Linked DNA regions of Stegostoma tigrinum. The protein of the gene in region 1 purifies or fractionates together with the protein of each later gene. This does not show direct contact. Links are inferred from orthologs where the notes say so. Each region holds a gene or a part of one and is shown in the gene's direction. Other genes may lie near its edges. The genes, in order: bag2, edrf1, activating molecule in BECN1-regulated autophagy protein 1-like and small glutamine-rich tetratricopeptide repeat-containing protein alpha-like.

What was found.
Region 2: the proteins of bag2 (region 1) and edrf1 purify together in Homo sapiens (affinity purification with mass spectrometry; 3 studies listed by BioGRID and IntAct, with this or other methods). This does not show direct contact. The link is inferred for Stegostoma tigrinum from reciprocal best matches to the Homo sapiens genes BAG2 and EDRF1.
Region 3: the proteins of bag2 (region 1) and activating molecule in BECN1-regulated autophagy protein 1-like purify together in Homo sapiens (affinity purification with mass spectrometry; 3 studies listed by BioGRID, with this or other methods). This does not show direct contact. The link is inferred for Stegostoma tigrinum from reciprocal best matches to the Homo sapiens genes BAG2 and AMBRA1.
Region 4: the proteins of bag2 (region 1) and small glutamine-rich tetratricopeptide repeat-containing protein alpha-like purify together in Homo sapiens (affinity purification with mass spectrometry; 3 studies listed by BioGRID and IntAct, with this or other methods). This does not show direct contact. The link is inferred for Stegostoma tigrinum from reciprocal best matches to the Homo sapiens genes BAG2 and SGTA.

Annotation. Positions count from the first base shown.
Region 1 is NC_081357.1:92,219,328-92,226,291, reverse strand, and holds the start of bag2 (BAG family molecular chaperone regulator 2), read left to right. Parts: upstream 1-3,946; 5' UTR 3,947-4,668; coding exon 4,669-4,790; intron 4,791-4,843; exon of another isoform or gene 4,844-5,203; intron 5,204-6,964. UniProt on the Homo sapiens protein: Co-chaperone for HSP70 and HSC70 chaperone proteins. Acts as a nucleotide-exchange factor (NEF) promoting the release of ADP from the HSP70 and HSC70 proteins thereby triggering client/substrate protein release.
Region 2 is NC_081373.1:31,645,950-31,653,762, forward strand, and holds the start of edrf1 (erythroid differentiation-related factor 1), read left to right. Parts: upstream 1-4,804; 5' UTR 4,805-5,064; coding exon 5,065-5,169; intron 5,170-7,813. UniProt on the Homo sapiens protein: Transcription factor involved in erythroid differentiation. Involved in transcriptional activation of the globin gene.
Region 3 is NC_081370.1:2,164,026-2,171,201, reverse strand, and holds the start of activating molecule in BECN1-regulated autophagy protein 1-like, read left to right. Parts: upstream 1-4,152; 5' UTR 4,153-4,607; intron 4,608-7,176. UniProt on the Homo sapiens protein: Substrate-recognition component of a DCX (DDB1-CUL4-X-box) E3 ubiquitin-protein ligase complex involved in cell cycle control and autophagy.
Region 4 is NC_081383.1:7,847,979-7,855,396, reverse strand, and holds the start of small glutamine-rich tetratricopeptide repeat-containing protein alpha-like, read left to right. Parts: upstream 1-4,414; 5' UTR 4,415-4,548; intron 4,549-7,418. UniProt on the Homo sapiens protein: Co-chaperone that binds misfolded and hydrophobic patches-containing client proteins in the cytosol. Mediates their targeting to the endoplasmic reticulum but also regulates their sorting to the proteasome when targeting fails.

The DNA of each region.
Region 1 (6,964 bases):
GGGTTGTAACAATACATGCAGGAAGAAGATAATGCAGTATAACTCAGTGGACAGTTTTGATGATCTGGAATGCACCACCTGAGAGTGTAATGGATACAGAGGCTGTCGAAACCTTCAGAAGAAAATTACTGAGGCAGACTTTTAATTCTAGATTTATTGATGGCATTTAAATTCCTCCAGCTGCCTTGCTAGGCTTTGAACCTCTGACCACAGCATATTACAAGGTTTTATGGATTGTTCATTCCCCACCCCCAAAAGTATGAGATATTGAAATGTAGCATGCTAAACAAAGTCATGATGCCAAACATCAGAGAGGTTCAAAGCTCAACATGAGTTCATGACTTTTCAGCTTCAGTTTTTATCTTCAGTACTCTTTGAAGAATCATGTTGCAAACCATGCTTTGTCATGCACCATATCTTACCTACATCAAAGGTGCATTTCATAGATAAGACCTCAGGACATCTCTTCCCAAATCCTTTGAAGTAATATTGCTGTAAAGTGCTTGTATGTTACAAAAGCTACTTTCCTTGAATAGGACTACCTCTCTTTTTAAAGACTTTGAAGAAGAGATTTTATTAATCATTATGTATGGTCAATGGATAGCTCTACCAATGTTTATTGTCCTTGCCACAAAAATTACACCTTAATTACTCATTGTTAAACATTGCTGTTAGTTAACGTCCACCTTAGAACTATCTTTTTATATTGGAAATCCTGTTGTTCAAAGATGCAAGGAAATTCAGTTAATAATTTTCCAGAATGTCCAACACTCAAAAACAAAAAGGTGCAAGATCTCTGATTACCACTTGTCTTTGGGCAGAGATGAGTCGAATCTGTTAAACTAAGTGAAACTGATTGAAATCTTGTTTTGTGTACAGTACACTGATAGATCAGAATACCAATTTGAGCCAAGACACTCATTTAATATCCACTCTTCTCACTTTCGGTGAAGTTGAAATACAAGGGGTACATATGTTAATTGTTCAGATTCACTATATCTCGATAAACATTGGGTAAATCCCCATAAGCACATGACTCAATTGGTATGACTAATGCGGACTAATTTGAAGAAGGTATGTACAATGCTGAAATTCATTATTGTTCGTATTAAAGCAACACTATAAACTGCAACCAAGATAGGAGATCTTTTACATGTACTTCCCTGGAATGTATATTTCACATTGATTTCCCTTCCCCTCCACTTAGCTTTTTCTGATAGTACAGTTTTGTTTTGTACAAAATGGTTATTGCGTTCCTTACAATAATGAAGAAGCTTCCAAAAGTGCTTCATTTGCTATGAAGGAATTTGGGATATCTGGAGATTATGATAGATGCTGCGTAAATCAAATATTTTTTCTTCACCCATCGTCATGAGATTTTCTGAGATATTTTGAGAGAGAGACATAATTATATTTGCGTAGAGCCTTATCAACAAAAACATCAGCTCAAACTCATTGTGACAAACTTTGTGACATTATCACCTCAGTGTTTTGAGATCAACCTGAACTTCATTATATAACTTGACCTGATATTTCATTGCAGCACTGTCAGAAGTGATGTGTTTCGGAAATGGCAAGCAGCTCAAATATAGGTGAAGAACAGAGTTCTTTCAGTGACTTGGCTATTTAATTCTTCTCTCTACCTCCAAAAGCTTGCCGTTTATATTGCACAGTTAATGTAGCAAACACAATTGTAGCCTTACAATCGTATTAGCAGACAACAGGTGAGGGGGCCAAAGAGGATATCAAAACAGGTGAGAAACGCTTAGTGGAAGATGATGTGCTGGAAGATCAATCAAACAGAACAACATAACCAGCTTGTCTGGCTGTCTATTTGACTTGATGGAGACATGATCTGATGGGTACTGCATCATTAGTGATTCTTTATTTAAACATCTTCAAGTAATGCAACCAACATGTCAGTAACATCCAATGAACTATACAGAGAATAAATGACCAAAGAAAGAAATGTTGTGAATCTCCTTCCATCCAAACTTTCCAAGTAAGTTCCTGCTTTTTATTTCAACCGTTTGCATATGATTGAAGCCTGGTACACTTTTTGTGCACATGGATGGCCACATGAAGGTTAAAGGAAGACCTTCTATTTAGTGGGATAACAAGGTGTAGAGCTGGATGAACATAGGCCGAGGAGCAGGTAAGCTGACATTTCGGGTCCAGACTCCTCTTCAGAAATGGGGGAGAAGAAGGGGATTCTGAAATAAATAGGGAGAGAGGGGGAGGTGGATAGAAGATGAATAAAGGAGAAGATAGGTGGAGAGGAGACAGACAGGTCAGAGAGGTGGGGATGGAGCCAGTAAAAGTGAGTCTTGGTGGGGAGGTAGGGAGGGGATAGGTCAGTCCAGGGAGACAAGTCAAGGGGGCAGATGAGGCTGGTAGGTAGGAGATGGGAGTGGGGCTTGAGGTGGGAGGAAGGACAAGTTAGGGAGGTGGGTACGAGCCTGGCTGGTTTTGCGATGTGATCGGGATGGGGAGATTGACAAGTTTGTGAATCATCCCTCACACCCTCTCCCTGCAGTCACAACCAAAACAGGATCCCTTCATCCTCACATACCACCTCACCAACCTCTGAATCCAACGCATCATCCTCCAGCACTTCCGCCGTCTGCAATCTGACCGCACTACCAAAGACATTTTTCTCTCCTCACCCTTATCTGCTTTCCAGAGGGACTGCGCTCTCTGTAACTCCCTTGTCCACTCCACACTCCCCACCAGCCCCACCACCCAGGGCATTTTTTTTGCTGCAACCGCAGGAAGTGCTACACCTCCCCCCTCACCCCCATCGCAGGCCCCAAGAAGACTTTCCACATCAAAACACATCTGCTAATGTGGTATACTGTTTCTCTGTTCCGGATGTGGCCTCTTCGACATCGGGGAAAACCAAGTGGAGGCTTGGGGACCGCTTTGCAGAACACCTACGCTTGATTCACAACAAATAACTGCACCTCCCAGTTACGAGCCATTTCAACTCTCCCCCCCCCCCCCCCCCCCACTCCTTCAACAACATGTCCATTCTGGGCCTCCTGCAGTGCCACGACAATGCCACCCAAAGTTTGCAGGAACAGCAGCTCATATTTTGCTTGGGAACCCTGCAGCCTAATGGTATCAATGTGGACTTCACACAGGTTCCAAAAATCTCCCTTCCCCAAACCACATCTCAAAACCAGCCCAACTTGTCCCTGCGTCCCTAACTTGCCCTTCCTCCCACCTATCCCTTCCTCCTACCTCAAGCCCCACCCCCATCACCTACCTACCAGCCTTGACCTGTGTGCCCTCCCTGGACTGACCTATTCCCCCCCCCCCCTAACTCCACACCTACACTCACCTTTACTATCTCCATCCCCACCTCTTTGACTTGTCTGTCTCCTCCACCTATCTTCTCCTCTATCCATCTTCTTTCCACCTCTCCCTCTGTCCCTATTTATTTCAGAACCGCCTTTCCATCCCCCATTTCTGAAGAAGGGTTTAGACCTGAAACCTCACCCTTCCTGCTCCTCTGATGCTGCTTGGCCTGCTGTGTTCATCCAGCTCTATACCTTGTTATCTCATATTCTCCAGTATCTGCAGGTTCCTACTATCCCTGAAATGTCTATTTAGTATTTTTTTATTGGTTTCAGATACTCCAAAGTGTTTTGCAGCCGCTGAAGTACTGTAACATTTTACATTGCACTTGACAATGATCAAGTAGATTTTAAGTGATGTTTATTAAGGGAGAACTATTAGCTAGGACTCTTTTTTTTTAAAAAAACTACCGACATTTTTTGCGCCACTGAAAGACAATCTATTTCATATCATCTCAAAGACAACACCTTCATTAGTGAAGGACATCCTCGATACTGGGCAGTAGTGTCAGCCTAGACTGGATGCACATATCACCAGGGGTCTTAAAAGCGTGCGCAACTAACGGACTCGGAGGTGAATATGTGCAACTCACTGTCACACGGATCTCCAAGACTAGATCCAACTTCAGAATAATCAAAGAACAATATATTCCCGATCTTGGTAGACTGGTACGTCTCATAGCATTTTTAAATGAGCCCATTCATCTCAAAATAGGGTTGAAAAAAAACGATTTTTTTAATTTATTGGTGGTGAGTTGTAGTCTTGAATCATTGCAGTCTTTGGAGATATTGAAGGAAGAGCAAGATATGGGCTCAGAGGGGAACTTGGTGGTGACGGAGTGGGAAATGGAACGAATCACGTCCAGAAAAAGAAATTCCAGCTTACATTAGTGTTTCACAAAGAATAAACACGAGGATAAAAGACTTTTTAAAAAAAGATTTTGACATGTTCACAATCTCCATCAACAGTTGACTGGAAAGATTGAAAAAATGCGCCTTGCTAAATATATTGCTTGGCGCCTGCTGAGTTTTTTTTTCTAGAAAACCCACTGGCCAGGAATAAATCTGAGCCAGGGACTGAGAGATTTCTGTTGCCTCTGTTCTGCATCCTTCTTTCCTGTGAGTAGAGGTTTATCCACCCTACCCCCCACCCCTCCCTCCTTGGACAGTGGGGGAGTCCTCACCCTATTTGGAAATCTTCATCTCCCACAGGAAGACGAGCAGATCCCACAAGAGGAACCAAGATTCCCGGAGGAACGGGAGAGAGAGAGAGAAAGGCCAGTTGACAGCCCTGAAACTTGTCAGCATCATGGCCCAGTCTAAGATCAATCAGGTAAAGGGGAACGATGTAGAAAACAAGTTCTTCCGCTCTATGTCCATGGCAGATCGATCGGGGCGGCTCCTGGAGACACTGGACAACTTAGAGCTGAGGTAGGAGAGGACACCAGTCCCGTCCTTTAAAGCGGTTCATACAGAAACAAAAATAACACACAGGTTGAGAAACGAGTGTAATCCTCGTATTTGTTATAATTTTTTTTAAAAAGGTGAAAAATGTAATTGTTATTTTCTGGAATTGTTCTTTGGGATCCTAAACAGAAAAAAAATCCTTGAGGTCAGGATGGCCTTACCGAATCGGAAAGAGACTTCTGATTTTATTTTTAGTGAAGACTTCCTGTCGCCGCCCCCTCTCTAGCTGTCTCTCTCTCTCTCTCTCTCTCTGTGCCTCTCGCCTGGTCGTTGAGGCTCTGTCAAATCGTAATCATGCCGCGTCCCGTCTTACCCAGCAGTTGGCCTCTTAGTGATATTCGGTGCATACAACTGTAGCTTTCAGTCAGCAGTAAACGGTGTGTACAGCTCTGATTTTTTAAAATATCGGATCACAGGCACAGAGTTCTTTCGGCCTTCAGCCGGGAAGACCGGAGACAGCACTAATATGGGGCTGTTCAAAATCTTGGGGAGTTTTCACAGGGGAAAGCCGACGGGAAGCGGGGCTCCTGATCAAAGGACACAGGTTTATGATTATTGATTAAACAAAAGGTTTTGCAGCAGCATTGATACTGCATTTGAACTGCAGTGGCCTCAACTGCTAAAACTTGAAAACCCATTTTGTTTTTAAGGTTTGGTAAACTTACACTAATATGCTGTGTGCCCGATTCCCGTTTATTCACAATGAATACTCTGAATTATTCCTGCAGTTGAGAATTACATGTCAATACAATAGTGACTAAAACGATACCAGTCTGAAAATGACTGATCTTGTCTGATTTTAGAAGCTAAGCAATTCAGGCCTGACCAGTACTTGGAATGGAAGACAGCCTGGGAAATAAACGTGCAGTAGGCTTTTAAGAATTTTAATTGCACAGTTGTCATGTCCCTATCCCTGGACCAGGGCGTCTAGGTTGAAGACCCACCTGCCTGCGAGGTGTGTTATAACATTTCAGCATGTTGTTGAAGAAAACATTGAGGAAGAAAATAGCAGTTTCAAAACAGGCCTGTGACCCGGCGGCTAGCATCACTATCTCTGGGCCAGAAACTTCAGGTTGATCGTGCCTTGTGGCTTGATTGCTATGTAAGTTAGGGATGTAAATATTGTTTAAAAATTACCTGTCTTAAACTAATAACATTTAAATGGTTAATCAATATAATTTTAACAGATATTCAAACTAAAACTTTTTTTAGCTTTTGTAGTTTAAATTGTTCTCAGCAAATATGAAAATGAGCGAATGGCTAAATCTACAGAAACATCTGACACCGTCTTATACTGCATCCTCAAAAATTACTAACAAATTCCCTTAAAAAAGTTGCTTTCTAGGCAGCATTTTCTCTGATCTGTTTTGCTAATAAATATTGTACTGTAAATATAAGAAGTGATGAGGTATTGGAGATTTTGGTGGATTTAAAAGTGGGGACAAATCCCAGTTCTAGATGAGTTGTATCCCAAGCTGCTATGGGAGACGTGGGAGGAAATTACAGGGGCTCTGACCCAAATTTTTAAGTCTTCTCTGGCTACAGAGGATGTGCTAGAGGACTGGAGGACAGCTAATGTGGTTCCATTTTACAATAATGGTGGTAGAAATAGGCCAGGGAACTATTGACTACTCAAACTAACATCAGTAGTAGGGAAATTATCGGAGAAAGTAGTGAATGAGAAAATTAATCTCCATTTAGCAAAACAAGGTTTGACGCGGATAGTCAGCAGGGATTTATCAGAGGGAAGTCATGCCAGCAAATCTGGTGGAAATTTTCGAGGAGTTAACCATGAGTTTGAATCAGGGTAGGGTAGTTTGACGCAGTTTATATGGATTTCAGTCAGGCCTTTGACAAAGTTGCAAATCAAAAACTGATAAAAAAGGTAAAAGCTCATGGGATCCAAAGTAACTTGGCAAGTTGGATCCAAAATTGGCTTCGTTCCAGGAGACAGAGGGTGGTGATAGATGGTTGTTTGTGAGACTGGAGCCCAGTGTGCAGTGGTGTACCACAGGGATCGGTACTGAGTTCTTGATTGTTTGTGATATTTATCAATGATGATAAATAAGATTGTGGATGACAAGACTAGCTGGGTTTTTTTGGCAGTGTAGAGGAAGGCGTTAGTTTGAGGTTAGAGA
Region 2 (7,813 bases), on another chromosome or scaffold:
TGTTCAGAAAGTTCAAATTTGAGTGAAAAGAGCCAGAGTAACAAGTAGAAACAGAAGAAGATGAGGTTTGACTGTTACAGATGTAGTTGGATAAGATGAATTTAGAGTTAGAATTTCAGAGAAAGAACCAGTGGGCAGTTGCTTAACTTTGTGCAGGCACTCCCAAAGTTTCATGACAAGGATGTAGAAGCATTTTTAAATTTCTTTTCAAAAGACAGCCAGACAGTAAGGTGGCCAAAAGTGGACATTTCTAGTTAGCCTGCTTTGCACAAGCAGAGCTTTTGAAAGAAGCTTCTAATGATTGTGAAATGGCAAATGTAGTTATTCTTGGTGCATATGAGTGGTCCCTGATGTTTAAATACAGAAATTTCAGAATCTTCAGAATGCAACCTTGACAGACTTCTATAGAATTTTGAAAGAGTTGACCAAATTACCTTTGATTTAGACGTAGACACCACAAACGAGAACTATCATAATTCTCTGAGAGGAATTTTAAAATTCAGTCCTTTTATGAGAAATAATCCACACAGAGACCCTGATTACAACAACCAGGCGGGTAAAATGGCTTATGATTGTGTTTGTTCACAAAATCACTTTTTCTATTACCCTCACAAATCTGAGAATAGAAAATGGGAGGATGAAAGGAAGGCAAGTAGTCAAGGACATGACGGAGCAGTTGAAAATACCCTCGGACCTCCTCCTTAGACCACAGAGGTGATTAGGATGGAACAGCTGTTTAAAAGCCTTAGTCTTTTCGTTGTTACAAGGTTAGTTGCATTCATGCAGCTTGCTAGAAGTTGGACTTACTGGGGTGCTCAAGATTTATGCAGAAAAAACGACCCTTACCATGAGTATAACAGACCAAGTTGTGGCTCTGGGTGCAGTTGTGAAGCCAGATACTAGCAGTATTACTGTGGGTGCAGGGAAAGTGAATTAGTTACCTAAGAGCTACAGGGAATGCTTGTTGAAAAGAAAAGCAGCTCCTTATCAAATGAGATAGGTAAACACATTATTATACTTTGGGAATGATTTGCCAGCGGTAACATAGTAGCTTCTTCAATAAAAACAGAAAGCAGTTGCAGGAAAAGATTCCAGGATTTTTGCCTTCATGTATACTGACCTGAACAATGGCTAAACAAATTTAAATGTTGGAAGCCAATTTGGCGCAACGGGTGTTAGGCTTTCTGAAACTTTGGGGATTTGAATAATCTGAAAAAAATGTTTATAAGTCTTCTTCGATCAAGGTTCAGCAAGTCAATCCAGAGTTAAGAAGCATATTCAGCACAAACCAAAATTTAAGCAGAGGCATTTCCAGAATACTAGAATATTAAAAATATGATTCTAATTTGGAAATAGAGACATTCTCACAGACCTGTGAATGAAGATAGATGGTTCACTAGATAGTGATGCTGCTCAAATATCATCAGGAGATATTAAGGATAGCCAATTAAATTCCGAAATAAGACATGTAAGGATCCAGAAAAACCAAACCTGAATAAGATGACATTTCCCTTGCCAGGACTTCAAAAGAACTTTTTTTTTTAAAAAATGTGTCATAATAGCTAGATTGTAGGAAAACCACAGCTGAAAAGAAACCAGCAAAACTAATTTCCTCTCTGAGGAAGCGTCTAGGCCCAAAATGTCAGCTTTTGTGCTCCTGAGATGCTGCTTGGCCTGCTGTGTTCATCCAGCTTCACACTTTGTTATCTTGGATTCTCCAGCATCTGCAGTTCCCATTATCTCAGACTAATTCCTGTACTGTTTTTTGGGTAATCAATCTTTGGGGTGCTGGTAAACTGTGAGTGTCTTCTACTGAAAACAGGAGTGAGAAACCAGTATATCTGTACTTTTATGGTTTGACTGCTTTGTTTCCAGATGCTAATTCCTTGAGAACAATTTCTGCCAAGCTAATGATGGAGAAGTTAACAGAGTTCTTCATTCAAAATGGATTAACAATTAAGATCTGGCTGAATTGACATTCCAATTATATGTCGAAAAAGTTCTCAAGACAATTATGAGCAGTCTGGATCTAACACAGTTAAGTCCTTAGTGTACAACCCACACACACACACACACACGGGGTTTTAGAACTGTACGGTCAAACCCCCAAAACAATGTTTAAGGTATAATGTTAATGTTACCTGTTCCCAATTTGTATGGAACCATAATTATACAAATGAAAAGGAACCTCAGTCATGTGGATCCTCAGGCAAGTGAAGCAATGACAAGATCTGACAGATTTAAAGTAATTGTCGCAAAGTCTAAAGGGGAATAAAACCTACAGACTTGTTAGGATCTGAAATGCACACCCTGAAACAGTGGTGGAAGCAAATCCCTTTAGCACTTCTAAGAGATAACCGGACATGTGCTGGATTAATTTTCAGGTTTACTGGCAGAAGAACTGGTGTGTCTAAATTGAAGTTATTTCAAAAATTGACAAAGACATATCAGACCATATGACCTACTTCTGTCCTGTAAGAGCTATCATTCTATTTGTAAATAGTGCCCAGTAAAAATGCAACAAGCTGTTGCATAATTGCGATTTTGCATAATTTATAGAGGCTACTTTTGTAATATATATATATCGCCAGAAGTGTCCTTACACACAAAATCGAATGATTTTCCCACCACCAAATCACTGACAATTTTTCCAACTACTAACCACCACCAATAAGTCACCTGTACAACCAATCTGATATTTACATGCAAAGCCTATCACGAACAATGCAAACCATCAGAAGTGAGGGAATGGTAGGGAGAACAGGAAGGGGGAAATACAGCACTGAAGCCCTCAGGGTACCACCTGTTTCTAAAGGCATTGGGAACATTGGTGGACACTATGTGCTCTGTCTCCAATGGCACCCAGGCAAAAATATAAACAGAGGCCCTTTATTATGTTTTCCTAATCAACTGTTCAGAGATGTTAATGACACACCTGTGGAGCAGGTGGGACTTGAACCCAGGCCTCCTGGTGCAAAAGTAGAGAAATTAGCACTGTGTTATGAGAGCACATCTGACAAACTCTTTAGATATTTTCTAATCAACCTTTTCAGCAATGATTTTACACACCTCTGAAACAAGTGGAACGTGAGCTGTGGCCTCTTGGTTCAGAGATAGGGACATTACCATTGCACCACAACTGCCATGTAGTTAATTAAATATATACAAGCAAAGCCCATTATGGGCAATACATACACTCAAAAGTGAAGATGGGAGGTAGGGAGAAAGGGAAGAGACAAAACCAAAATGGAGGTGGAGAGGGAAATAAAGCACAGTATCCCGCCAAGGTGCCCACCTCTCTTTAAAAGCAACAGATTCTTTATTTTTCAAAGAAGCTCTTTATTGTTTTATCTGCAATTTAATACATGTTAATAATTAAGTAAATATTTTATCCTTGGCATTCCCATGAAATATTTTGAATACATGAATCAAGGGTAGTTCGCCCTTGATTCAAATTTGTTCAATTCTAAATGTTTAATTCTCATTTTCATCACTGAATTCCCATTTTGCTCCATTTGTGTTGATTAATTCAAATTACTGACTAATTTCAAGCATGATTGTAAAATATTGTGTCCTGATGATAGGTCACTAATCTCTACAGAGAATGCTGTCTGACCAACTACATAATTGCCAACATTTACTGTTTTAATAGTTGAATTATCAGCAGATTGCATAATCATTTTCTGTAGTTTGTTTTCGCTGCAGTTTTTCATCAGCCATGTATTTTGAATTTTTAAAAAGTTATGTATCTTTTATTCGTCTCAACAGAAATAGCAGATATTAACATTCCTGGAACATCTAAACCCCAATGCTTATCTCACCAACATACTACCCTTTAGTGAAAATGAGCAGAAGGATCAACTGTGCGCTGAAATCATAGGTATTTTCCACTATATGGGTTGCACTACATTTCAGGAATATTTAAACACTACTATAAAATTTTCTATTTTCTTGATGCTACAAATTCAGAACAAAATGAAGCATTTGGTGAAATACATATATTTTTGCGTAAAATGTGGAATTAACTTCTGAACATAGCTAAACAAACTTCTAAACATTTGCAGTACTTTTGGATAAACATGTGCTGGCATCAAAATAAACAAATGAGATTCATTAGGAATAATATTAATCACATACTTTTTTTTAAATTATAAAGACCTTGAATATTGATGAACAGCGGGACTTGCTGTTTATGTTTCGCTTTGTCTTCCATTTCCAGGGTCGACACAAGAAAGCCAACCTTCAAATGATGACAACAGCTTATGCTACAGGAGGAATATGGCAAAACATCTCTGATGTCCAGGGTGTTGCCATGGAAAAAAACAAGGAGCTCAGGTTCCCTCGTCGCCCAGGTAATTCAGAAAAGGTACAAGACTTGAACTCATTTGTTTGCAGAGAATTGATCCCTGAAATTAACAAATGTTGCTTTCAACAAGACGTCATACGTTTGACATATGGCTTTGTACCTGCCACCGAAATCCAGATATAACGTTCTCTCCACCATTATGACTACTGAATCAACTTTCCCCACTCTGTTAGATTAGAGAATAAAACGCTTTGAGATAGGCGAGGTGAGGGGCATAGATCGCCAGGCAGCGAAAGCCAAAATGAAAACATTTTCTTTCCTGCATGTGTATTGGGGTGCTTCTGGCGGATGCCTCCTCTCCAATAAGTGCGATAGGTGTAACGAATGTACAAGAGATTGCCGTCAGCAACGAAGCAACCATCTCCCTCTCTTTTCCGAGCTCTGACCGTTTCTAACGGAACTCCGCGCGTTGCCGGAAACTGGATTGCGGCACTTCCGGCAGAAGTTTCTGGTGACACTACTGGTGCTTCGCCTCTGCTTGGGGCAAGGGGGTGGGGGGTGCCGGTAGTGACCGTCCCCGGCTGCTGCCGCCACGAGGGTAGGAAAACACTCCCGTTCGCCTTTGTGTTCGACAGCGCCGCGTTTAACCTCGTTTCTTGTCCCACTTGTTTGGTAATGACTTCTAGAACGTTCTGGGCAAGAAGCCGGTTCATGTTTTTGCCCGGAGTGGCCCGTCTCCCCCACGCTGCCGAGTAACCATGGAGGGAAGGGAGTGTGCGGCCGCAGCCAGTGGTTCTGCCCCTCGAAAGGCTGAAGTCAGAGAGAGTAGCAGTAACAGCAGGGAAACTTGTGACTTGAAACAGGTAGGTAGGAGGTCCTTTGTGCTTTCTCGAACTTTTTGTTTTAAATTTTGAGACTCCTCATTGGTCGAGCCTCCATCTCCAACCCTGCTGTTCACCTGGATGTAGCCCTCGTCAGTTATTGACACCACCCCTCCCTTATCCACAATCCCGGAGGATCCCGGTTACTTCTCCAAGGACACAAAGCACAGAAGGCCCTCGAAATGACCATTTGCCAGTTGCTCCCGGTAGTTTAGAAACCAGGGGATGCGTTGAAAGTTTTAGCGATAGGAATGGTGCGGGTGTGTTGCTTTGAGTTGCAACTTTTGAAATGCAATTTATGGTCATGGAAATGCTGCCTTTGAGGATGTTGTACTCAAATGAAAGATGACATCAAAAGGAAGTTCCATGAAGACTTGAGGAAAATCAACTTGCAGGGCTGTGGGGGATAGAGTAGGGAAATTATAGTCGCTCAGAGATCCAACATGATTTTGATAGACTGCCTTGCTCCTGTGCCGTGATAACTGAGATCTGATCTGATCTTTCTTTCTTGGTCCCCAGTTTTGTAATTCCTAATCGCACAAAATTCTCTAAGGTAGTGTGGAGCTGGAGGAACACAGTATGGAACTGGAGGAACACAGCAGGCCAGGCAGCATCAAGTAGGAAAGCTGATGTTTTGGGTCAGGACCCTTCTTCAGAAAATTCTGTCCTGCCATGTTCCTCCAGTTCCATACTGTGTTCCTCCAGCTCCACACTACCTTAGAGAATTTTGTGCGATTGGGAATTACAAAACTGGAGACCAAGAAAGAAAGATCAGATCAGATCTCAGTTATCACGGCACAGGAGCAAGGCAGTCTATCAAAATCATGTTGGATCTCTGAGCGACTATAATTTCCCTACTCTATCCCCCACAGCCCTGCAAGTTGATAACACAGTATGGAACTGGAGGAACACGGCAGGCCAGGCAGCATCAAGTAGGAAAGCTGATGTTTTGGGTCAGGACCCTTCTTCAGAAAATTCTGGCCTGCCGTGTTCCTCCAGTTCCATACTGTGTTATCTCTGATTTCAGCATCGGCAGTTGTAACCAGCACAAAATCTTCTGCCCCCTTTTGAAGATCCACAATTACGGCCACCCACGTACAGTTATTGTTTCATCTGGTTTTTACTCCACTCATCTGATTCCTTGTTTTCACAGCTCATATTCCAGTTTATCCTTTTGTCTGACCTTCTGATGTCTGTATTTGTGACTCTTGATGCTCGCAGCCACTTGCAGTTTCCACTAATGGAGAATAATGCAACTAAGCACCCGCCTATCCAGTTCTGAGGGACAAGTTGAGGGGGCTAGAGGGCTTGTGGGGCCTCCATTCAAACAAGAAGTAATCTGTCCCTATTCACCAACACTTCTCTCTGCCTGCCTGCACTCGTCAATTTTGTACTAGTTTCCCTCAATTTCACTGACTTGTCCTAAGTAAAATGAGTATTCATACATGAGAATGGCCCCTATCTGTCTTTTCATGGGATATGTGGCATATTCTTTATTATAGTACAATTAGGGAGCCCCTCCAGCAGATCTATTTCTGTGTATTGATGGTGCAATTGGTATTTCCTACTGTTGAATTTTTCAGCTCTAGGCAATCAACCTTGTTTCGTGTTTCCACCATTCCCTGCCCTTCAGCTCCCAGTGTTCCTTAACTACTTTGTTTTGTTTCAGGTGATAGGCTACCAAACAGTTCCTATTGTGCTCTCTCAGACTCTAACTGTCAACGTGACTACACTCCCTACAATCCTGCTTCCTTTCTTGTATCTTCTGTGCTGCTGCTTGCCTGTTCTGATTATGCCACCTCTGAACCATTACTTCCTCTATTGTGGGATTTCCCTTCATTCTGGTTGTTAGGATCTTAAACAGTATCTGTCTGTTTCCTCTCAGCCATTCCAGTACTACAGCAGGACTCCTCTTAACTCCAGCCTGCCCATTCAACAGATTTATCTGCAATTTCTGCTCCTTGTAATGTCAGCAAATGCTTCCCTTTTTCCAGTCCAGAGGTTCACTTTGCATTCTGCCTCCCCCTTCCCATGGCACGTTCTGTTAAAAACATAGGGGATGTAACATCTGCCTCTTCCACCCTTCACATTATAGATACCAAAAACATTCTGCCAGTGGAACAGTGATTTATTCTTTCAGATGTTTAACCTACATTTTGTGCATTTGATAAAATACCTCTTACATTTGGTAAACCAAATACAGATTAGGTGACTTTTTGAGGAATGCAATCTTTCAGTTTAGAAATGAGACTCTGAACTTAGCATCACCTGTCGCTTTAATTCTGCAGTCCATGCTGTTCCAGTGAAGCTCAATGAAAGCTTGGAGAAAAGTGTTGTATCTTTCAACAATGCACTTTACCACCTCCTAGATTTTAAAATTGATCTCAAGAATTTTAGATGATGACAATTGCCTCCAATACAAGCAAGGCTAACAGTTGTTGTGCTGATCAACTTTGGGAAGAACTGTGAATGTTGCCTGCTTGAACTGTTACAAATGTAAGTACACTTGCAGTGTTGTTAGAAAGGGAATTCCAACATTTTGACTGAGCAATAGAACTGAAATGGTATATATTCCAGTCAGGATGGGGCATGGATTGGATGGGAAATTGCAGATAATAGTGTTCCC
Region 3 (7,176 bases), on another chromosome or scaffold:
GCCAGGATAAATGAGGGCCCATTACAGTTGGAGACAGGGCAGTTTACAGAAAATGCTGGAGAAACTATATATTAACATGAGAATTATGAGCCTCTTCTGCCATGGAGTAGGATTATGGTTGTTTTGATTTCTCCACATTCTCACCTAATAGCCTTTTCGCAATTTGCTTCTCAATAATCTCTCAAAATGCGCAAAGAATCTACTACCAATTATTTTCATTCAAAGGGTGGGGAATCATTAGAATTCACTAATCAGAGGGCAACATTCCCTTTAAGCACTTCAGAATCTCTCAATGGCTGCACAATCAAACCTTCCATAAGCTGCTGTCACACGCAGACCTTCAAGACTGATAAATCCATTAGACCAAATGAGTTACATTCCAGTGTCAAAGTTTTTGGCTAGAGATTCATGCATTCGTGATCATCTTTCAAAATGATACAGACACTGAAAGCATTCCTGCAGGCTGAAGAGTGGCAAATGTAAGCTCATCATTTAAGAGGGAGAATGGACAACTACAGATCTGTTAGTTTGATGTCAGTACTAAGGAAACATTAGTATCTATTGTAAAGGATAATATTTACTGGACACAAAAATCAGGCAGAGTTAACATGGATTGAATGAAAGGAAATCAAATCGACAAACTTGGTCTTTTATTGAGAATGTTACTTGTAGTATAGATAAAAGTGAACCAGTAGATGTGCTGTGTTCAAATTTTTGGAAGGCTTGATAAAATCTTCAATGGGAGGTTAATTGCAACAAAACTAAGGGTCTAGGCCTGAAACGTCAAGCTTTCCTGCTCCTCTGATGCTGCTTGGCCTGCTGTGTTCATCCAGCTCTACACCTTGTTATCTCAGATTCTCCAACAACTGCAGTTCCTACTATCTCTAAAGTGTATGGGTTTGCGATTAGTATACTGGCACAGATTTTAAAATTGGTTAACAGGCAGAAAGTAGGAAGCAAGTAATTGTCATGACCGCAGTCTGTGGAGTATTGCAAGGATATTAAGGTAGGAATATTGTAGACAGGAATTTCCCTTGGCTAGCATGCCTAAAACCAGGTGTCACAATTCCAGAGCAATGGCACACCATTCAAGATTATGGGGAATCTATTTTCACCCAGAGGATGGGGAATTGCTGGAATTCACGATCCCGGACAGCAACATTCCCTCCAAGATGTGCGACTGCTGAGGGTGGGGTCTGCACACGCCAAATAGCATGCTTATATGTTTGTTTCCATAAACTGTTAGTGTGCACGGACATGGGAAGGCTGCACAGTGGGGAAAAGTCGTACGGGAGCTTTGCCGGAGGGGTAACTTAATCACTGAATATGTTCAAGATAGAAATCAGTAAGATTCTCATTCTCAAATGATAACAGCGGGTGTGGAAATAGCGTAGAAAAGTGACTTTGGAGTAATGGTCAACCACGATTTAATTAGATGGCGGAGCTTCTCGACGGGCTGAGTGGCTGATTCCTGTGCCTAAGTAACTTGCATGTTTTGGGTCACAGCCTGCAACAGGTCTTCGGTACTACCAGGAAAAACAAATAAAAGCAGCCTCACAAGCCAACGAAATCCACTGAAAAGCTGTATGTTGACACAGACAAACTGCATTGCATATACATGAAGGACACTGGACAGTGAAGTTTCCAGTCGCGATTTAAGAAATCAACGGCCCGTTTAATTTCCGGGGTAAAAAGACAACTTTTAAACGCCACTGTCTTGCGGCCGAGCAAATCCTTCAGTCCTGAAACTGCACCGAATTTTTCTTTTTTTTAAAAAAAAATACGGATAGAACTGCGCACGCTGCAAATCAGAAACGAAAGCGGGAATTGCCGGAAAAGCTCAGCACGTCCGGCGGTATCAGAGAAGCGAAAAATCAGTTCCGAAGGAAGGGTCATCATCACTCGGCCCGAACTGGCTCCCCGACATCGCAGCCAGCAGAGGAGGCTATTCGGCCCGCAGTGCCTGTGCCAGTGCCCAAAAACCAGTCAACAACAACAGCAACTTACATCTTAGCCGCACACAAGTGGGAATAAACGCCGAAGCTGCACGGTGCCGTAAAATTATGAATAAGTGAGACTTATATTAAAAACAAACCCGCGTTTTCAGCGGGTGAGGACGGTACCGATGGGTTGTAGCCCCTACCCAGGCCCCAGCGGACACTCACCCCTCACATTCCAGCAGACTTCTCCGGCACCGCCCGAGTTGAACGGAGCGGCGGCCTTGGCTCCCGTCGCCCCAGCCCGGTGGAGGGGTTGGGGAGAAGCCGTCCTCAATCGCCAATCACACCCGCGATCCCAACAACAAAAACGGCGTCGCCAGCGGCCTCCCGGCCTCAAACTGCCTCTGTTTACCTCCGCCACGCTCCGCGAACATCGCCCCTCAGCGCCGGCGCGCACATTCGCCATCATCACACACCACAACTCCCGCCACTGAAACTAAACCAAGCACGAGTGAAAACGCTCCAGTAAATAAAAGTCGGCGACGCGTCTTCTTTTCACCGTGATAGAATTAGGATTTTATTCTTCCTCCCCACAACGACTACGAAGCCCGCTATGTCGAATGTGTGGTCGCCAAACAGAGAGTCATCTTGTGTGGCCTACAAACCCCAGTATGCCCTGCGCCCAGAGGGGACTACATTTCCCAGGAGGCAAAGGGTAGCAGTGACCCAGTTTCCAAAGTAGTGAGAGAGTTAGGCAGAGATTTCAGCCCTCTGTTTTGGAATCTTAAGTTGAAGTTGCAGGGAAGTTCTCTCTGACTTAGGAGAATTTCAAAGGCTGATTGTTTTAGAAATACAGATGAGATGCATTCTGACCACTTTCCTCTTTTTTTTTGAATGTTCCATTCCCCATTCTTTCATTGTCCCCAACAGGATGTTCTGCAGATATAAGGAGAAAACGCTGGGTACGCTCAATATTATTTAGAATTTTCAGAGTTCCAGCATCCAGTATTTTATTTACAGTCCAATGAACATCGATGCCCTCTTTGTATCCTGCGTTACTCACCAGTCGTGACTGCATTGCAAATATCGGCACACTATTTGGCCTTCAGCTGAACTTATTACTGTTCTTACCCAATTCACACATGGCAAAGTTTAATAGTTTGTATTCTGATGTGAAACTGACTGTGTTGAAAGATGGTCAATATAAATTATTACTAAACCAAGACTTGGCCCCAGAATGGGTAAATAACTGAAATGAAACTGGCAACTTAACATTATACAGCATTACACACTGAATCATACACTTAGGTGAGGTCAAAGATGAGAATTTTTACAGTCTAACTTGTTATATGATCATGAGTTACAATTAATGTAATTTTCAAGAACACCAAACTTCCTTCAAATTGTCTTTTGGACAAGTGCAGTAATTCAAGAAAATTGGTCTGTCAGCGGTAGTGCTTTGAATTGTGCCTCAGAAGGATGCATGGTTGCATTATTCAGAGCAAACAAAGAAATAGTTTCCTAGGTTTAAGCCTCATCTTGAAACTTGAATATGTAACTTTTTGTGCAGCGCAGTTAAAGTACTAGATTTAAAAAGGTGCTGTTTTTCAGAATAAATATGAAATTGGGATCCCATTTGTTCTCTCAGATGGATGTAAGATATTCCCAAGAGAAATTTCTTGGGAATATTCAAACAAGAGAATGGAATTCTGGCCTAAATGTATTCTTCAAATGTAACTAAAACAAGTTATCTGATCAGTTATTTCATTTCTGCCTGTTGTGACTTTTTGTGCAAATTGAATTTTATTTTTTTGTCCGTTACAACAATGATGACTGTTAAAAAGGTACATTATTGGGATATCCTGAGAGAATGTGTGAGATGTTGCATCAAAATAATATTCATCTCCTACTCTATTAAGATTGTGGTTCTCTGAGCATTGCCAAAGCTAAGATTAGCTAATTAAATCTATATCCAGGATTAAACTTTTTAGCCTAGTAATGTGATTTGTTCTTTATTGAATAACGTTATGTAATTGTTAACAATAAGAACTCAAGCACATTGTACAAACCTTGCCTTAATGAGACTGACAATACAGGCTATCATAATTCACATTCCAGTATTTTCAATAGGAGGTTTGCCAAGACTGAAGGTTTCCAGGTTTCCCACACGATTGCAAAAACCAAACCATGGATGATGAGGCACAGATACAACATGTGAACTGAAAACCCTTTCAACGTGTCAACTAAGCCTGTAATGCATGGTGTATTCTTTTCAAATAGATACACATGTTTGATGTGAACTGTTAAGCTGAGATACTGCGAGCGGGCATTTAAAGTGGTCCAGCAGCCAGTCGCGGAAGCAGGCGGTGGTTGAACAATTTCACTTGCTCTGGCCTTGGCTGTCTGAAGTCTTCCTGTTGGGATGAATGGTCGATGTTGTAGGTTCCATTGTTCTGGCCTGGCTCCGGATTGCATCCATTGCTCCGTATCAATTACACTGGTCTGGGAGAGACATTGATGTCTGTAACACAAGAAATTATGGAATATGTGAAAGGTTTCTAGGCCACACCAAAACTTGGCCTTTTGGTGGACAGTTGTATTCCGCTCAGTGATGGATACTAACCAGTTTGTTTGACGTACGGCACTTTCTACCTGTCTTCCCCAGAGGTAAGTGAGGCAAAACTCCACAGTCTTGTGCCTGGTATTCTGTGGATTAGACAAGTTGTCATGGTATCTCTCAGGGACATTTTTCCTTCCCCCCCCCCCTCCCGCCTCCTTCCACCCACTGCTCAGTTTCCAGGAATGAATTTCTCCTGTGGCAGTTCATAAATGTGAAGCACTGTCCTTGTTCACTGTGTTCCGGGGCTGGGGAATAGTTTAATGCTGTTTCAAGAGGGGGAGTCCTACACAAAATGTCTGCCCAGGCTGTGTTTTAACCATCAATTTTACAAGCACAAAATGGGAAGCTCGTTAGGCTGGAGTGGTTCTGGGAAACATGAAACTGGCCCCCTTTTTACTGACATTTTAATTTGATGAATTTATTGTGATCCAGTAGGCCTGTAAACGACATTTCCTCTTTAATGTTGTAATCTGAGAAATGAAAAACCCTGATAGAGGGCCCTCTTTCGAAATAGTTCGACTATAAGACGAGGCAAGAATTTATGTAAATGTAATCTTTTAATATTTCAGTATGTTTAGTAGTCTAACAGTTTGAGTCTGAGAGGTGACATAATTGGTGTGTAAAATTAGGAGGGAATTTGAGTAAATAGAGGTGACAAATTTTCCTTAACAGAGGTGTCAAGAGCTTGAAGTCATTGGTAGAGGAAAGATGAGGAAACTTTTTTTCGCCCATGCAGAGGCTGGTCGAGACATAAACTGTCACCGCAATTAAGTAAATATTTGATTCTGCTTTGAAGAATTGTTACCTGCCAGACTTTTGATCTAGCGTGATAAGGTAGGATTAGGCTGGGAGGGCTCTTTGTTAGATGCCACTTCCAGATTGACCTGAATGGCTACGTTATATGTTATAAATTTGGATATTTCAAAATATCATTCTCAAAGTGTAGTCATTGTTGTGCTGGCAAATGTTGTAGCTCACTGCAGGCTTTAAAATCTTGATTTTAGGAAAATGATATTGAGCGTGGTGAGGAGTTCCAAATTTGAGATGGCCTGGACCTTCCTCCAATGTCATTACAGACATTTGAGTAGAAAATTCCTGAATCGCTTTGGTATATACTGGAATGTAAAAACTGGTGTGAAACATGTCAAAATTTATGTCAACCATTGAGTTATTAGGAAATTGTCAAAGCTGTGCTGTTTTTATTCTTTAAATTACTGTTTATGCGTGAAAATGGATCTCCAAAGCTAACAAGCATCAGACACATCAAGTTTTAAAAACAGTTTATAATATTGTGGCGCAAACAACACGATGCCATAAATATGTGTTAAAGACACAGAATATATTTTATTTACCTCAAAAATGAGATGATTTTAAAAAATTTACATAAAGAAATCCCCACGAAACACAAGCAGAATGATTAGACTTGCTTATAAACATTAAAATGTAAATTCTAAGCCTGATCATACTGGTTAAAGATCAGGAAATTTCCATGTAGCCATATGAATTACAAACAAATAGATGATTTGCTCCTTGCTTCCCATTCCTATTGAATCCTCATATCCTTTGTCCCCTTTGGTAGTGTATCTATGTATGCCTTTAAAATTTTAAATCACCCAGCCTCCAATGCTGTCTGGGGAACAGAATTCGAAAGACTCATCACCCTCTGAGAAAAAAATAAAACGCTTAGTTTTCATCTGAAATGGTTTACCCATATGATCTTCATTTTTAAACCATTTTTCCAGTTTGTCATTGCACCACAATGGGAAGGAACCTTTCAGCATCCACTGCATATAGTCCCACAGGATCTTATATGTTTCAGCAAGACTATCCCTTATTCTTCTAAACTCAAGTGGATACAGGTCATAGATAGTAGGAACTGCTGATGCTGGAGAATCTGAGGTAACGAGGTGTGGAGCTGGATGAACACAGCAGGCCAAGCAGCATCAGAGGAGCAGGAAGGCTGACGTTTTGGGCCTAGAAGAAGGGCCTAGGCCCAAAACGTCAGCCTCCCTGCTCCTCTGATGCTGCTTGGCCCTCTGTGTTCATCCAGCTCTACACCTTGTTATCTTGGATACAGGTCATGTCTGTCCAACTACTCCTCAAAAGATAATTTCCCCATCCTAGATATCCATTGAGTTGAAGATATTCTGAACTATTTTCGATGCAAGATTAGTCTTCCTTAAGTAAAGAGACCAAAACCTTACATACAGCTCTAGATGTAGTCTTGCTAGTGCTTTGCACAAGACCAGCAAAACATCCCTATTTTTATGTTTAATTCGCATTGGAATAAAATAAAGATATAATATATGCTGCATTTTCATACTAACCTTGTATGGTTTGTGTACCAGACTACCTTGATCCTTCTGTACCTCCAGTGTTGTGCAATCTTTCTTCATTTAAATCATATGCTGTTTTCAGTTTATCCACATTATACTCCATTTGCCAAATTTTCCTGCTCAGCAAACCTACCCTTTGCAGACTAATTGTATCCTTTTCACACTTAACTTCATTTTGTATCACCAGCAAAGTTAGCAACTGTACATTTGTGCACTCTTCTCCATCCTCCAAGTCTTGAACTACAGTTATGTATGGGATGGGTTGGTGATTGTGCTATGT
Region 4 (7,418 bases), on another chromosome or scaffold:
GATTAAGTCCTCAGATGGCAGGGTTTACTAATGAAGAGAAAATGGATCAGTTACAATGATATACCCTGGAGTTCAGAAGAATGAGAGGGGATTCTCAGAGGTGTCTGGGGAATGCAAAATTCTAGACAGGGTAAATGCAGGATTGATGTCCCCAATTACCCGGGAGTCCAGAACCAAGGTTCAAAGGCTAAGGATACTGGGTATTCCTGAGACAAGGGGGAATTTCTTCACCCAGAGAGTGCTGAGCCTATGCAAGTCCTTGCCACAGAAAGCAGCTGAGGCCAAAACATTGAATGTTTTCAAGGATATATGGAAGATGTAGTTCTTGAGGCTAAAGGGATCAATTGTTATAGGGAAAATGTGGGAACAGGGTATTGAATTAGCCACAATCATATTGAATGTCAGAGCAGACTTGAAAGGCTAAATAGCCTACTCCTGCTCCTAGTTTCTATGTTTCTAACGCAGTAAAATGTTTCGAGGCAATCCATGAAACAAATTTAGGACCTAGCCACATATTAAGCATAGGACCAAAGTTTTGGGCAGCCAGGTCGATTTTAACAAGGATACTAATAGTGGCAAAAATGCTAGAGAACAGGAGCAGTTTATGAACAACATTCAAAAGGTTAAGATGAGGTAGTTGACACAATCATCAAAACGCTATGGAATCACAAAAGACTGGAAATAGAGGAACACGGATTTCCCAGAAAGTTGTGGAGCTGAAGAAGGTTACTGAGATGAGGAAAGCTCAGACCATGAAGGGATTTGATAACAAAAGTAAGTTTAAAAAATTAAGGCATTACTTAACCCAGAGCCTGTGTGGGAACAAGGAGCGGAAGAAGGATAAATGATACTTGGTGCAAGTCATGACGCAGGCAGCAGAGTTTTGGATGGCTTTAAGTTTATTGCAGAAAGAACACAGGAGGCTGACAAGTGCATTGTAGTAGTCAAGTCTAGAAATAATGAATGTTTTTAATCAGTAATTTTTTTTAGTGGAAGGGAATGATATGGGGTAAAGGTAGGAAAGTGGAGTTGAGTATCATCAGATCAGCCATGATCCACTGAATATCAGAGCTAATTTGATGGGCAAATTGGTCTATTTCTGTTTCTACATCTCATGATCTTTGCTCACAATGACTACTCTGTCCTCAGCCTCTTATAGCATTCCAACATGGTCTAAACTTGACAAGCAGTGCTTCAGCTTTCAGATTAGGTGTGTTACACCGTACAGAGTCATTGTTGAGTCCAACAATTTCAAACTGTAATCTCTTTCTCTTTTTGGGAATTTTTTGTCTTACTCTTTTACTTTCATGTTTGCTTTTGGATGGTAGCTCTTCCTCACTCATTCCTCCATCTAGACATATCTTTTGTTTCTTTATTTGTCTCAGTTATCATTATCTTTGATCCTGCGCCATGGACTGTTGTTATTTGATATCTCTTGTCCTCCACCGTATCAAACACCTTTCTTTTGTTTCCTTCCCATTCTTTTCTAAATTTTACAAGTTTCAGTGAAAGGTAATTAACATGTGAAGGCACAGCCATGAATAGTGAGATCAAATAATTAGCAGGCATACATTAGCCAGAGTTAGAGAAAAATCAGAATTTTTGTGGGAGGTTACAGAGATGGAGTGGAATAAGAATTTGAAAACTGAGCATTGCCGGACCGTTGGGTTCAAAGCAATTAAGCTCACATACCTTAAGTATGAACTTTGTTTCGCTGTTCACATATTCTATGACCTGCAGAACATTTCCTGCATTTTCTGTTTTTATTTTATGGGTGGTTACACCTATTGGGATATTATACATGGGATATGGCCATCAGTAGCTAGGCATTTAGAGTCATATAGCATGGAAAAAGATCCTTCAGCCCAAATTGTCCATGCCAACCAGATTTTGTAAACTAAACTAGTCACATGTGCCTGCATTTGGTCCTTATCCCTCAAAATATTTCCTATCCATATAATTGTTCAAATGTCTTTCAAATGTTGTAATTGTACTGGCCTGTACCACTTCCTCTGGCAACTCATTCCATATAAGATCAGCCATGATCATATTAAAAGTCAGAGTGGACTTGAAGGGCTGAATTGCCTATTCCTGCTCCTAATTCCTATATACACACCACCCGCTGTGTGAAAATATTGCCCCTCAGGTCCCTTTCAAATCTTTTCCCTCTCACCTTAAATTTATGCTCCTTCGTTTTGGACTCCCCAACCCTGGGGGAAAAGCCTTAGCTTTTCACCTTATCAATATATCTCACAATTTTATAACCTCTACAAGGCTACCCCTCAGCCTCCTATCCTCCAAGGAAAAAAGTTTCAACCTATCCAGTCTCTCCTTGTAACTCAAACCCTCCAGTCTTGGTAACATTCTAGTAAATCTTTTCTGTATGCTTTTCAGTTTAATAACATCCTTCCAATAGCACAGCGACTGGCACTGCTGCCGTACTCCAAATGTGGCCTTATCAATGTCTTGTACGGTCGTAACATGATGTCCCAACTCACTGCTCTGACTTACGAAAGCAAGCATGCTAAATGACTTCTCCACCATGCTGTCCACCTGTGATGCCACTTTCAAGGACCTATGTACCTGCATCTATAGATTCTCTATTCTTGGCTTTTATAACTTTGTGTCTTTGTGTACACAACATTCAACTAAAAATTAGAGAAAGATGTAAAGGTGTGCTAATTTTAAAAATACATTTTCATAAAGCAATATTCAAAATTTTCTGTTTTTTTTAATGCTTCATCTTTGTCCCAACTTCACCAAATAATTATGAACTTGGGGAACTGCCACAGTGTTTGAGTCTAAATGTTCTTGCTGTAGCAGTAAAAGATATTAATGATAAAACTCTTAAAACCTTTTCAAGCTCTTTGTCACTGTTATGGTGACATTGGTTTATCTCACCCAGGTTCAACTTTTACCTAAGCAACAATGTATCAACCACTGACCTCACTGATGTAATGAAACAGGTTAAATTTCTATCTCCATGATCCTCAGCTGTGAAATGCCATTACTGACAATGCATAAGAATCCTGGCGGGTTTACAAATTACTCAAATTTCCATGCTGACACAAAAACGTGTTTCCGAGAAAGCCTGACAAAGTAAATATCTGCACTAAAATGAAATACACCACGGCATCATATTTCCTACTTCTCGAATTACCACCATGACAAAATTATTATCCAACTGATTAGGTTGTTTTCTCTCAAAAGCATGTTGAAGGGTGACCTGATATATGTCTTTATGAGTTAAAAGTGTACGTATAAGCCATTTCCATTTGAGGATCATGTCAAGAAGAGGGGCCATAAGGAATTCCCAGCCAGTGAATGAATGTAGAGTTAGTGCAGACTTGATGCTGAATTTCTGCACTGTAGGGATTCTATGATAAGATAGTCAGCACTAAATCCAGGAGAAACCTCTGTAAAGAGGGTGGACCTCAGAAGAGACAGGCAACACCTAAAGAATGAAAGGAATAAAAGAATATGTTGTAACAAGGTGTAGAGCTGGATGAACACAGCAGGCCAAGCAGCGTCAGAGGAGCAGGAAGGCTGACATTTTGGGCCTAGAGCCTTCTTCAGAAAATAATATGTTGATCAGGTTAGATGAAGGGTGAAGAGAATAAGATAATATATTGATAAGAGTTAGATGAACGACATGAAGAGGCTCATGTGATTCATAAGCATTGCGTCAGTCTGTTCTACTGAATGGCTTGTTTCTGAGCTTTAATTCTGATTTCACAAATTGACTTCAATACAGAACAAGGTTTATTTATCCTTAAAAATAAAGCTTTGTGTCACTGTCAGTTTTACTATTTAATATATAATTAATTTATAAACAAGAAAATATCAAATATTGGGCGTGGAATGCCCTGCCTGCCAATGTAGTTAACTCAGCCACATTAGGGGCATTTTATGATGGGATAGTGTAGGGGGAGGAGCTTAGATTAGTTCACAGGTCGGCGCAACATCAAGGGCCGAAGAGATAATGGGAACTGCAGATGCTGGAGAATCCAAGATAATAAAATGTGAGGCTGGATGAACACAGCAGGCCAAGCAGCATCTCAGGAGCACAAAAGCTGACGTTTCGGGCCTAGACCCTTCATCCCCCTCTCTGATGAAGGGTCTAGGCCCGAAACGTCAGCTTTTGTGCTCCTGAGATGCTGCTGGGCCTGCTGTGTTCATCCAGCCTCACATTTTATTATCGAGGGCCGAAGGGCCTGTTCTGCGCTGTATTGTTCTATGTTCTGTATCTGCTGAACAGCATATCAGTTACCAAGCCTATCATCACCACTTGAAGCATTAGCAAAGGAAGTTTCGTCCCCTATATCGGAGCATGCATAAAATGATACTTATTTGACAGATGCGGGCAACCCGAGCAGATGGGCACATGCACCCTGGGGTTCGGCCGTCAACGGGGAGTACGCATGCGTGCTGCGATCCGATCGTCAAGCCGAACAGCACATGCGCTCTAGGGTCCGAAGTCGTCTCGGACGGAGCATGTGCAGAGAGTGTTGTCTTGGTGTTCGTGTCCGTATTTAGTATCAGAAAGCGGTGAGTTTGAAGAAAATATTCCTCAATGGCTTTTGTGTGGGTGATATGAAGAAGTTAGAATGCACCTCCAATTTTGTTTTAAAATAAAGGAACTTGGTATTATAAGTTGGGTCGCTTTTCTGTCGGCTGTGTAACTAAGTGTGAGTGAGGAGGCGCTCAGCGATGCTAGGCCCAAGCTGGAATGTTCTGTCCTTGTATCACTCTGACTTGGGTTTAGTTGTGTGAATATCTCATGTCGAGATAGTTGGCACATTGATCTGTGCAAGCAGTGTACATGTCCTCTGTATTAATGCTGCTCCTATGAGCTAATTTTCAATTAGCTATTAAGTGTTTGTTTGCTGGCTTACCATTTTCACAAATTACATTTGCTGTCTAGAATAGACTAGTGCATCAGACATCAGCATGCAATGTTGTGTTCAAGTAGAATCCAATTGTCAAAGGACTGGACTGTGTTGTAAGGCCTACATAGTTAAAGTGGATAAGGTATGATCATTTTGCAAGCTGATTTGCAGCACTACATTTTGTGTATTCTCTGCTGATTTGGTGTAATATTTATGTATTCAATTGTAATGGATAAAGTCCCCTTGCTTTTTAACTAACTTGTTTGTATTCTGCACCAAAGCAGGAATGAATTTTGGAATCACAGAATCCCCACAGTACAGAATACAAACAAATCCATTGTACATGCCTATTTGCTGTTTGTGTTTTTTTTCTATGTTTGCTTTTCCAAGCCCCCTTGCGCAGGGTGGCTTTCCTTCCTCTACTGAGCCTTTCTCTGTCACATTTATTTTCAATTTATATTTAAATGTTTATTGGTTTCCATTGAAGTTGTGCCATTGGCCTTAAGCAGCTGATTTATGTCTTTCTCATTTTTTCCCCAACTTTAATTATCCTGGGATGCAGTTGTAAAGAATTTGAATAAGCCTTTATTATCAAGTGCACTTGAATGAGTGCAGTGAAAAGTTTGTAATGTCACTATTTTGGCAGCTTCTTAGGAACAGGGTGCTTAGGTACAGAACACTTAAGTATGTGTTGCAGACTTGAAAGAATTGCAAATAAAAATTCAGTGTAAGGATAAACAAGTTTTCTTTTTAAAAAGTACTCAAATTTTAGTCTGTGCCAGTACCGAGCCTTCAGATTGCCCAGGCCAAGTCTCTAGACCCACTAGGCCTCAGATCTTGAGCTTCCAGTCCCCAAGGGCCTTGCTTCTGGTCCACGACTTGCTGCATCTGCACTGGCCTCCGTCCCAGGACTCAATGTCCCTGTGCTGGCCTGGCCCGGGACCCCCTTTGCGACTTGCTGCCCTCGTCGGCCTGGCCTGGGAGTTGCTTCTGGGACTTGACTGAGTTACTGTCATGCTGTGGAGAAAGGGGTAACCCTATCTCCCAGAATGGTGTCCTGATTCTTCAGTTCAGGAAGAAGGAAAAAAAAGTAATAGTAGGTGACCGTTACTACTTTGTGCAGTTGAATGGCTTCAGTGCGAGCTATGTTTTTTTTCATTTCAGAACTCAACAGATGTACAGCTTTTAGTAGCTCAGTGTTTGCATCTGTACTTGGAAAACATGGTGTAGATACTACAATAATTCAAGCTTTACTCTTATTTTTCTGTTTGCATAACAATTTCTTCAGAATTGGAGGCACATTATGGTGCAGAAGGAGGCCATGCTGGCTTTGTGTTTGCACCAGCTAGCCAACGAGCATTATGGCTTAGTGCTGTTTTCCTGCTTTTTTTTTCTTGTACCTTTGCATCTTGTTTTTACTTAAATAATCATCTATTTCCATCTTGAATGCCTCTGAATCTGGCTCAACCACATTTCCAGGGGGTCTAAACCATGTGTGAAAGCTTTTTTTTGACATCTCATTCACCATATTTACAAGTATCTTTTAAATTTCTGCATTCTTGTTGTGGATCATTTTATGAGCAGGAACAGTTTCTTGCTATAAATTCTATCCAGATCTCGCCATGATTTTGAAAACTTCTACTGAAGCTGCTTTTTAGCTGCCTCCAGTCCCAATATCTGCCATCAATGCTCATAACTGAAGGTATTTATCTTTGGAAGCATTTTTGTAAATCTCTTCTAAACTCTGTCCAATGCATTCACATCCTTACATCAGTGTGGTACCCAAACAAAGCACAGTAGTCCAGCTGAGATCTAACAAGTGTCTTGAATAAGTTCAGCTTTCCCTCCTTGCTTTTGTATTCTCTGCCCCTTTTTTAAAAAATGCACAGAACTGTTTAACTGCTTCCATCATTCCCATTACCTTCAGTGTTCTATGCAGATACACGTCCAGGTCCTCCTCCACCTGCACCTCTTGATTTTGTAACATTGGCTATGCTCTTTCTCTATAAATGCATCAGCTCAGACTTCTCTGAATTGTATCACATCTGCCAACTCTTCCCCACTCCTCCACTTGTCTTTGGCCTTTTGGAATTCTGCACTGTTCTCCTTTACAGTTTACAGCTTTGTATCATCTGCAAATTTTGAATTAACTCCTGCCCACCAAGATCTAGACCACAGGCATCTTACCAAGATCATCACTATGCCTCTACTACTTCTTGCCTTCAAGCAACTGCCAAACCTTTAAACAGACCATCGTTTGCAGTAAACTACCCAGCCTTTGGGTGAACATTGACCACAACACCACACAACCTTGCCATGGCAATTTCTGCAAGATGTCAGATCTTGTTGACATGGATACAACAATTGCACATGGGAACACCACCCACAATATACATGGCAGATACTTGTGACTAGGCCGATATTGTCTATCTCATGTGCTGCAGACAACGATGCCCCAAGGCATGATATATTAGCAAGACCATGCAGACACAACAGCAACAGATGAGTGAACGCAGTGCAACAATTGCC